Saccharomyces cerevisiae S288C: one gene and its partner. The gene in region 1 interacts genetically with each later gene. Each region holds a gene or a part of one and is shown on either strand. Other genes may lie near its edges.

Region 1 (4,994 bases):
AGCCGAACACAAGGACTAGGATACTGTTATTTTTATAGCCAAAAAATGAAAAAAAACAGCATGGCATCTTGTTAGTTCTGTTGCAACTCGCAGGAAGTAACAAAATAAACACTATAATATTTCCATATATTTATATATATGTATACAAACACCTTGTTAACAAAAAAAAAATAAACGAACTAAAGAAAACCGTAATGCAGAGTACACCTTGAAGAGAGAGAAAAGAAAATCTTTGAATCCATAGCATAATAGCGATCAACGAAACTTTTTAAGAAGTAAAATGAACTGAAAGGAGAAAAATATAACGGAATCCCAATGTATAATAATAAATAGAGAGCGGAAGAAAAAGAATAATAAGGGGAATTGAGGGTATCAAAATACAAGACATTCTTTTACCGAAAAGAAGAATGACTTAATAGAAAACAAATTCAGCAGATCCAGATAAAACAGAAACTGTGCAACCATCGGAACCATCTCCGGTGAAAGAGCCATCTTCATACGCACAGCTGCCCTGAACGTTAGCGCCATCGGATGCAACTATTTTAACGTTAAAGTTGGCAGCTTGGTTACTGTTGGGGTTTGGAATCAACGACAAGTATGTTTCTCCATTAGTGGAACCAGCACCTAACACTAGTGGAGCCCAGTTGCCGACATCCGAACCAGAAGTACCCCAAATGCACCCATCTTCTGCAGATACACCGGCGTTGTTAATATAGTACTGAGCAGAAGTCTTTTTACCCTGCCATTGATAATAAGTGTCTTCATCAACGACTGAAATTGGTTGTGAATCTCCACCATCAACCACTGTGGGAATCACCATGTTTTCTGATCCTGGGTAATCCGTCCTACATAGAGCAATGGAGTCAGACTTTTTGTTAATGGCCTTAGCAGATGTTTCATCCGTAGAACATAAATCGCTGGTATCAGTGTTGGTACGGTACAAGTAACCATTTTTACAGTAAAGACCACCAACAGATTTACCATCGCTTGGTTGGTCAGAAGGCCATTGAGTCTTTGACATTCCAGGTTCACATGCATAAGAACAGTAGTAGCCATCCTTACATTCGGACGAAGTGTTGGCATCCATGTCCATGACAGAGGCCCATCCACCAAATCCTAGCCAGTCCAAGGAAACTATACCGTTTACAGAAGGGAAGTCCGAACATTTGACAGTACCATCTTGGAATCCGCCATCACGCTTCTGTTCAGAGGTATCCTTCTCAGATGAGGACAATGTAGTGGTAGTAGCAGCAGATTCTACAGTACTAGTAGCGGCATTGGAATCTATGTATTGAGTGACAGTGACAACCGCTGGTTTTTCATCTTTGTGATGATCTTCATGGTGACTGTCCGCTGGAGCAGGTGCAGGGGCAGAAAATGCGACAGAAGAAAGGGAAGACAATATTAAAGCTGCGGAAATTTTCATTATGTGTTAGAGAGAGACGAGTTAAGTATGTGCGACTATACTAGTATTATAATATTAAAGGAAAGTAAGGTACCGTCTATGAGGAGACTGTTAGTTGGATATCAGTAATGAGACGAAAAAGCTCGAAATGAATGGATATATTCTTTTTGCTACTGGCAACTGTTGAATATTTAATGTTAAAACAAACTAACTGAGGTATATTCGTATCTGTATGTACACATATACTATATACAGGAAAAGATAAGCAAGAGAGAGGATATCAACTACGAGAGCGATCGATTATATATCAAAAGCTGTCCGCTTTGCCACCCATAATCGGCGCTTAGTTTCGGAGTTCAATCATAATTCTACCACCTTACACTCAACTTACTCTTTAACTCCTATAGTATAATATCGCCACTGACCCCATATTAAAAAAATTTTTTTGCTCGATCTTCTATCCTCTTTAGGTTAATTGTCGCTGTTATTGTCTAGATTTTTTCTCGGAGATGGCGCATCTATTTGCCGTCAAAAGATCCTCTCATACCATATTAAGTAAATTGCCTCCATTTCTTTTTCCTCGGGCAGAGAAACTCGCAGGCAACTTGCTCTCGAAGTGGTCACGTGCGGGTCTAGGCCTGCATAATCGGCCCTCACAGAGGGATCCCGTTACCCATCTATGCTGAAGATTTATCATACTATTCCTCCGCTCGTTTCTTTTTTCAGTGAGGTGTGTCGTGAAAGAAAACCCACAATTAAACTTTCAACAACCGGGCGACTAGGAAGAGAGTAGTGGGCGCGGATGACGAAGGCTAAGGTCACTTCTTCGTTTCCTTTATTGGGGTTTCCGTGTAGCCTTCCCCTGAATAGTGTGGGACGTTTTATGAGAAGCCGTAAGAAATAGGCAAATTGAGTTATGACAAGTAGACATGATGCCGCAGCCTTGCCTGACTTTACGTCTCCTTCATGAATAAGTTTTTCTATCGAGTTCTTTTCCTTTTTTCGCCTTAATTAGCTCAATTAAGCCTGTCCTCACTACTTTTCTTTTTCTTATCGGCTTTGTGCCACACCTAACCTTCGAATGCTGTTTTATTCCGTTCTTACATGGGATGGTAATGCCTTGGCGAGAATTTCGATTTTCAGGATATTGTCTTGGTGGCGTCTTTTGCTGTTACTATGTGTTTAAGAGAGAGCTGTTCTACAAAGAACTTTTCATTTACGCGTTTTTTCCTTTTTTTTTTTTTCTCATCCTAAACGCGTAAATCTGTTCCCTTTTTCATGTAATGGGCGTACAACCGACGATGGAAAAATGAATCTTGCAATTTTAATACTAACACTTGGAATAACTCCAAACAGGTAAGAGGCTCACAGAATCTCGAAAGTGTAACAGCGTACTCTCCCTACCATCCAATTGAAACATAAGATATAGAAAAGATGTCAATTGTTTCACTGTTAGGCATCAAAGTCTTAAACAACCCGGCAAAGTTCACTGATCCATATGAGTTTGAAATCACTTTTGAATGCTTAGAATCTTTAAAACATGACTTAGAGTGGAAACTAACCTATGTTGGGTCCTCTCGTTCTCTAGACCATGACCAGGAATTGGATTCCATTCTGGTAGGCCCCGTTCCCGTAGGTGTTAATAAATTTGTGTTTTCTGCTGACCCTCCCTCCGCCGAGCTGATTCCTGCGAGTGAATTGGTTAGTGTGACTGTTATTCTATTAAGTTGTTCTTATGACGGGAGAGAGTTTGTTAGGGTCGGTTACTACGTGAATAATGAGTACGATGAAGAAGAGTTAAGAGAAAATCCGCCAGCAAAGGTACAAGTAGATCATATTGTAAGAAATATACTGGCTGAAAAGCCAAGGGTAACAAGGTTTAACATTGTTTGGGATAATGAAAATGAAGGGGATTTATACCCACCTGAACAGCCCGGCGTAGATGATGAAGAGGAGGAGGACGATGAAGAAGAAGATGACGATGAAGATGATGAAGACGACGAAGATGACGATCAAGAAGATGGAGAGGGAGAGGCGGAAGAAGCGGCAGAGGAGGAAGAAGAGGAGGAAGAGAAGACTGAAGACAACGAAACGAATCTTGAAGAAGAGGAGGAAGACATAGAAAATAGTGACGGCGATGAGGAAGAAGGAGAAGAAGAGGTGGGGTCTGTAGACAAGAATGAAGATGGTAATGATAAGAAGAGGAGGAAAATAGAAGGGGGGTCCACGGATATTGAATCCACTCCAAAGGATGCGGCACGTTCAACGAATTAAGAATTTATGGGTTATAAGATTAATGGTACCTGCAAGAGAGGTACACTTTATAAAATGTATAAATAAAAAAATAACAGACATAAGATAAAGTCGGGTTAGGGCAACAGCTACGTAAAAAATAAAAGGCAGTAATATTTTCCATTTAAGTTGATTTTCTTATTATTGTCGTTGAGAACAAAAAGAAATTGGACGAGTCCGGAATCGAACCGGAGACCTCTCCCATGCTAAGGGAGCGCGCTACCGACTACGCCACACGCCCTAATATTATTGATATTGTTGTTTATCAAAGTGAGATACGTCAGTATGACAATACGTCATCCTAAAAGTTCATAAAACACATATGAAACAACTTCATAACAGAACGAACATGTTGGAATAAAAATCCACTATCGTCTATCAACTAATAGTTATATTATCATGTTGGAACGAGAGTAATTAATAGTGACATGAGTTGCTATGGTAACAATCTAATGCTTACATCGTATATTAATGTACAACTCGTATACGTTTAAGTGTGATTGCGCCTATTGCAGAAGGAATGTTAAACGAGAAGCTCAGACAATACTGAAGCTGTGTTAAAGACCTATTAGTTGAACATGTTATGGTAGGTACATATATGAGGAATATGAGTCGTCACATCAATGTATAGTAACTACCGGAATCACTATTATATTGGTCATAATTAATATGACCAATCGGCGTGTGTTTTATATACCTCTCTTATTTAGTATAAGAAGATCAGTACTCACTTCTTCATTAATACTAATTTTTAACCTCTAATTATCAACATGGCGACCCCAGTGAGGGGTGAAACAAGAAATGTTATTGACGACAACATTTCTGCGCGGATTCAATCGAAAGTCAAAACAAATGATACTGTCAGACAGACGCCATCATCATTAAGAAAAGTTTCTATTAAAGATGAACAGGTGAGACAATATCAAAGAAACTTAAATAGGTTTAAAACCATACTAAATGGTTTAAAGGCAGAAGAGGAAAAACTTTCTGAGGCTGATGATATTCAGATGCTAGCTGAAAAATTATTAAAACTCGGAGAAACCATTGACAAGGTTGAGAATAGGATTGTGGATCTAGTTGAAAAGATACAATTATTGGAAACAAACGAGAACAATAATATATTACATGAACATATAGATGCTACAGGGACTTACTATTTATTCGATACGTTAACTTCAACCAACAAAAGATTCTACCCTAAGGATTGTGTTTTTGATTATAGGACTAATAATGTCGAGAACATTCCTATTCTCTTAAACAATTTTAAAAAATTCATCAAGAAATATCAATTTGATGA
Region 2 (4,760 bases), on another chromosome or scaffold:
TGAAGGTAATTCGGTGTCAGCATAGTCATAAATTCACAACATTGTACAATTGAGGTATAATCTTTTCTTTGTAGTGATATTTCAAAAATCTCGAAAATTACTTGGATAATCGACGCTCCATTTATGGTGCTGGCTGAAGTATCCAGAGAATTTGATAAATATGACAGAATTTCACTAGATTTCTCGATCGAGGTTTTCGGATCGACAACGTTAGTGACTAACTTTATTATGGATATCATCAATTCATGTTGTAAGTCATCCAGTTGTGTACCCTTTTCCATATATGAATGTAATAGATTTTGCAATATTCTACCCACCAAAGACCAACCATTGAATTTGTAAAGGAAAATAATCAAATTGGAAGTAGTTGGCGGCTGTTGTCCATTCTGTTGTTGTTGTTGTTGTTGTTGTTGTTTGATAGTAAGAATTTTTCCCTTTGTTGATTTTGGTATTGACAAGAGACAATTAGAGTTTTCGTTTTCTAAGGGTGGCGCCACTAGTAAATCAGACTTCAACTCTATCAAATCAGGCACTATAATATCGGAGGATGAAGAAGAGTTTGTTATTGTATCAGCAATTAAGTCATAATCCAAATCGTTCAAACTACTTTTGGTAACAGCAAATGAACATATATCTTTTAATTCAAAATTGGCAAACTCGGTATCAATTAAGGCTAAATTAATTAGCGGGATCAGTGATTCGTTCAATAGGGGCAATTTAGCCTTTATGATGCTCAATTTTTTCTCAAAAGTGTCATTAGTTAAGAAATTCTCAATGAACTGCTCTGGTGCCTTTGAAATTATCTTGGCGAAAACCCGGGAAGTAGATGCAGTTATAGGAATAAAATTTAAAGAAAACTCCAAAAATACTGTTATTACTGTGGTGTAAACAGGATCAAAGGATAGAATTTCTGAGAGAGTATTCAATTTTTGAAGAACATCATGTGATTCAGCAAACAGAGCAAATTTCGTTATGTCTGAATCATCAAATGATTCCGACGATTGTAATGCTCGCCTATAATAAAGTATAAATGACCAGGAGTAATGAATCATTGGATGGAAAATGGGGTCCTCGTTGACGATATTGGTTGCTACATCATTCTCTAGAGCGCTATTGACGGTGTCGAAAGTTTCTGTATCCATGTACAAAGGTGACTGAATATCAAATTGCGCGATTGAAGTGTTCAGTCCAAGTATCAATATAGTTGTGATAGTAAATAAAGATGAAATCCTGGAAATAAGCGTTTCTGAGAGGTAACTGAGGTCTTGGAAATTCTGAAACTTGTACAATTGTAGTGACGAGGTATCTATACTCTTGTCTGTTGAATTTATATTTCTGCAAAATTCAACAAATTGATTTTGATACTGTAGAAACCATTGATTGACGATATCTACTGGTACTTTTGTGTTGAGGATCATTAAATTCAAAATTTGTAATATCTGCAAGATAAACTTCAAATCAGAAAATTTTTTTAACTGCACCAATGAGACAATTGTGAACATGTCTTGATCGTTATTATAATCATGTGCTAAAGATGAAGCTGTAATAATGTCGTAGTTCTGGATTACAGATGATATTATAGAAATCAATTTCCCCACTACATTGAATCTATCGTTGTCAATAAATGAATATGTCTCGAGGTCGATGTCAGGGTTAACGAGAAGTGAGTATACTATATGAAGTCTAGATGATCTCTCAGACATAAAGAATTCTACAGCATGAGAAAGGTCCTCAGATTGAGCAAAGAATGGATCATTATCGACGTTTATTTGCAATAAGTTTGCAATTGTAGAGCGTAACTTGTTATGATCGCCGGAAGAAGTTACATTCTGCCTTATTGTGTTCAGACTCTCGATAAGATTTGTCTTGTTAGCTTTCAAAAACTGTCTTATTTGGGCCAATTGCTTGGCATCCACAGCGGATACATCAGCAGCAGCATCGTTCATAAAATTAGCAACATGAGTGAAGGTCAATTGTGGAGAGGAATTGCCAAATGAAGGTGTAGCCATGGCTGATGGGGTCCTTTTTTTAGCGGTGGAAAGGGTTATCTCTTTATTTGTGTTTCTGTTCGAATATTAAAGATGTCTCAAAGTATTCATTTCAAGAAGAAAATTTTTGGTATTACAAAATATTCTTACCCGGAATATATACATATATACCTTAACTACAAGCAGGAGCCGGCTTTCTGGCAAGGAGGGAGAAGACATAGATTGTTTGCGTATATATGTGGGAATAGCGTCCAAGCACGCCCGTGGCTGAGGGAGCACCACGATCGTTCGGTGTACTTGACACCTCTATATGGTATGTTCTTCCCTGATATTGATATCAGCACAATTACGGCTCTAAGAAACGATGAATATAAAAAACGTTAATTAGGAATTTGACATATGTGCTAGTATTCGGGCCCCTGAGCAAGTTTGTGCGCACGACGCCTGTCCGTTGCTGCACATGCTTGCGTGGGGCCTTTTTGTCGTGTTTTTATTTAGGGACTGTTATCGAAGGAATAGATTTCTGTGGTGAAAAGTAGAAAACTACTAGCTTTTATAGACGGTGGGGGAGAAAAAGGAAAATTAGAATTGAAAAAAATTTGAAAAAATATGAAAATGTGAAAAGGACGCCTTATTTCCTTGGGTTGCCCGGCGAACACGTTAGTTAACTCGCTGTCTAACTGATGGGCTATTATTATAGCGTTATAGTACGTATCAGAATTTAAAAGAAGGAGGCAGAAAAGCTTAGAGCAAAGGGGCAGGACAATGGAAGCTTCACATTTGCAAATCTACTGGCATGATTCACAACCCGTTTACTCGCTCACATTCCAAAAGAACAGTGCGAACGACAAGCTTTTCACCGCTGGTGGTGATAACAAGGTTAGGATATGGAAGTTGAACAGAGATGAAAACGGACAAAATGGGGGGGTGCGTAAGATTGAAAGCCTTGACTTTCTTGGCTCGCTGACGCATCACGAACAGGCCATAAATGTAATCCGATTCAACTCGAAGGGTGACGTACTGGCGTCTGCGGGCGATGACGGCCAAGTGCTGCTATGGAAGCAAGAAGATCCAAATACACAGCAAGAATCTGTGGTCAGACCATTCGGAATGGATGCGGAGACTAGTGAAGCAGACGAGAACAAGGAGAAATGGGTTGTGTGGAAACGGCTGCGTGGTGGTAGCGGTGCTACTGCGGCGGCAGAGATTTACGATCTAGCGTGGTCACCTGATAACAGGAACATAGTGGTGGCATGTATGGACAATTCGATACGACTGTTCGATGTTGGAGCTGGGATGCTGGTATGCGGCCAGTCGGATCATGGTCACTACGTCCAAGGTGTTGCATGGGACCCATTAAATCAGTTTATTCTCTCACAGTCTGCGGACCGGTCTCTGCATGTATATGGAGTCATTCTTTCATCTGCAGGAGTGGTTACAGGGCTGAAACTTAGAAGTAAGATTGCCAAGGCAGAACTGCCTTGTCCAGGTGATGTCCTGAGGACAAATTACCTTTTTCACAACGAGACGCTACCTTCATTCTTTAGGCGATGCAGCATATCGCCTTGTGGTGGTTTGGTCGTAATTCCCAGTGGTGTGTATAAGGTGGCTGGTGATGAAGTCGCGAACTGCGTATACGTGTATACTAGATCTGGAATACTGAACAGCGCTGGTGGCGTTAAAAACCGGCCTGCGATTAGAATCCCATCTTTGAAGAAACCAGCGCTGATGGCGGCTTTCTCGCCCGTATTTTACGAAACGTGCCAGAAGAGTGTGCTTAAGCTGCCCTATAAGCTAGTATTTGCCATAGCAACGACTAACGAAGTACTCGTGTACGACACGGATGTATTGGAGCCGTTATGCGTTGTGGGAAATATACATTACTCACCCATAACTGATTTAGCATGGTCTGAGGATGGCTCGACCCTACTAATCTCATCAACAGACGGATTCTGTTCGTATGTATCGATCGACACAGAAACGCAATTCGGTTCAAGGATAGAGCCGCCAGCGATGCATGCAGAGCCACTAGACACTGACGAGAGCGCGGTAGCGGCTAAGAACCAGCGCGAGGCAGGTGGGATCGTGAACATGCTGCCGGTGAAGAAGATCCCCTGCAATAGTAGCGATAGTAAAAAGAGGCGCATACATCCTACGCCAGTCGATTTGTGATTTTTAATATATTTAATGCGGTACATAAGAATGCCTAATCTAGTTTGCCAGCGAAGATATTTTCCATTGTGTGCTCAATGGACCCTGTGTTCCTGAGATCTTGCACGACTTTTTCCTGAGGCACATGTGGCGCCATCGTCATCACGATTTCAACCATGTCACTATTAACGGCTCTCTTTCGATCACTACCATGTCTGTTTAACCGAGCAACGCGTTCCTCCGGAGCCGATGGTACTGGCTCCGGAGAAGGGTCGTTGGTGGCGACCGAGGGCGCCGGTTTGGCATCCTGTACGGTTCGCGAGGGTACTTGCTTGGCGCCCCTGTGTTTCACGGTGTAAACAAACAAGCACACCATCGTCAGTATAAACACTATAGTCGATCCATCCATTTTTACTTTTGTGCGCGTGGGTAGCCGTGCCTCGTCTGTGTGTGTGGGAATGTATAAATGTGTCCCGAGTTATTATTCTAAAGCGGGCACCATTGTAGTAACTTATTGCGAAATTTCTGCTCTTCTCGTCTCGCTCAAAAATCGCGTTCAGGGTAAAAGGGGCGAAACAGAGGGCCAGATAGAAATTTCGAGAAAAGCGGGTCACCCCGCCC

Evidence for each region.
Region 2: of ASF1 (region 1) and CAC2, changing one enhances a phenotype caused by changing the other (phenotypic enhancement), as found in Saccharomyces cerevisiae (7 studies listed by BioGRID, with this or other methods).

Annotation. Positions count from the first base shown.
Region 1 is NC_001142.9:193,448-198,441, forward strand, and holds ASF1 (nucleosome assembly factor ASF1), read left to right. Parts: upstream 1-2,839; coding exon 2,840-3,679; downstream 3,680-4,994. Other genes in the region: PHO86 (Pho86p), read left to right, coding at 1-19; SUN family protein NCA3, read right to left, coding at 413-1,426; YJL114W (gag protein), read left to right, coding at 4,468-4,994. UniProt on the Saccharomyces cerevisiae protein: Histone chaperone that facilitates histone deposition and histone exchange and removal during nucleosome assembly and disassembly. Facilitates histone deposition through both replication-dependent and replication-independent chromatin assembly pathways.
Region 2 is NC_001145.3:65,541-70,300, forward strand, and holds CAC2 (Cac2p), read left to right. Parts: upstream 1-2,753; coding exon 2,754-4,160; downstream 4,161-4,760. Other genes in the region: NUP188 (Nup188p), read right to left, coding at 1-2,009; CUE4 (Cue4p), read right to left, coding at 4,195-4,548; YML100W-A (uncharacterized protein), read left to right, coding at 4,598-4,760. UniProt on the Saccharomyces cerevisiae protein: Acts as a component of the histone chaperone complex chromatin assembly factor 1 (CAF-1), which assembles histone octamers onto replicating DNA.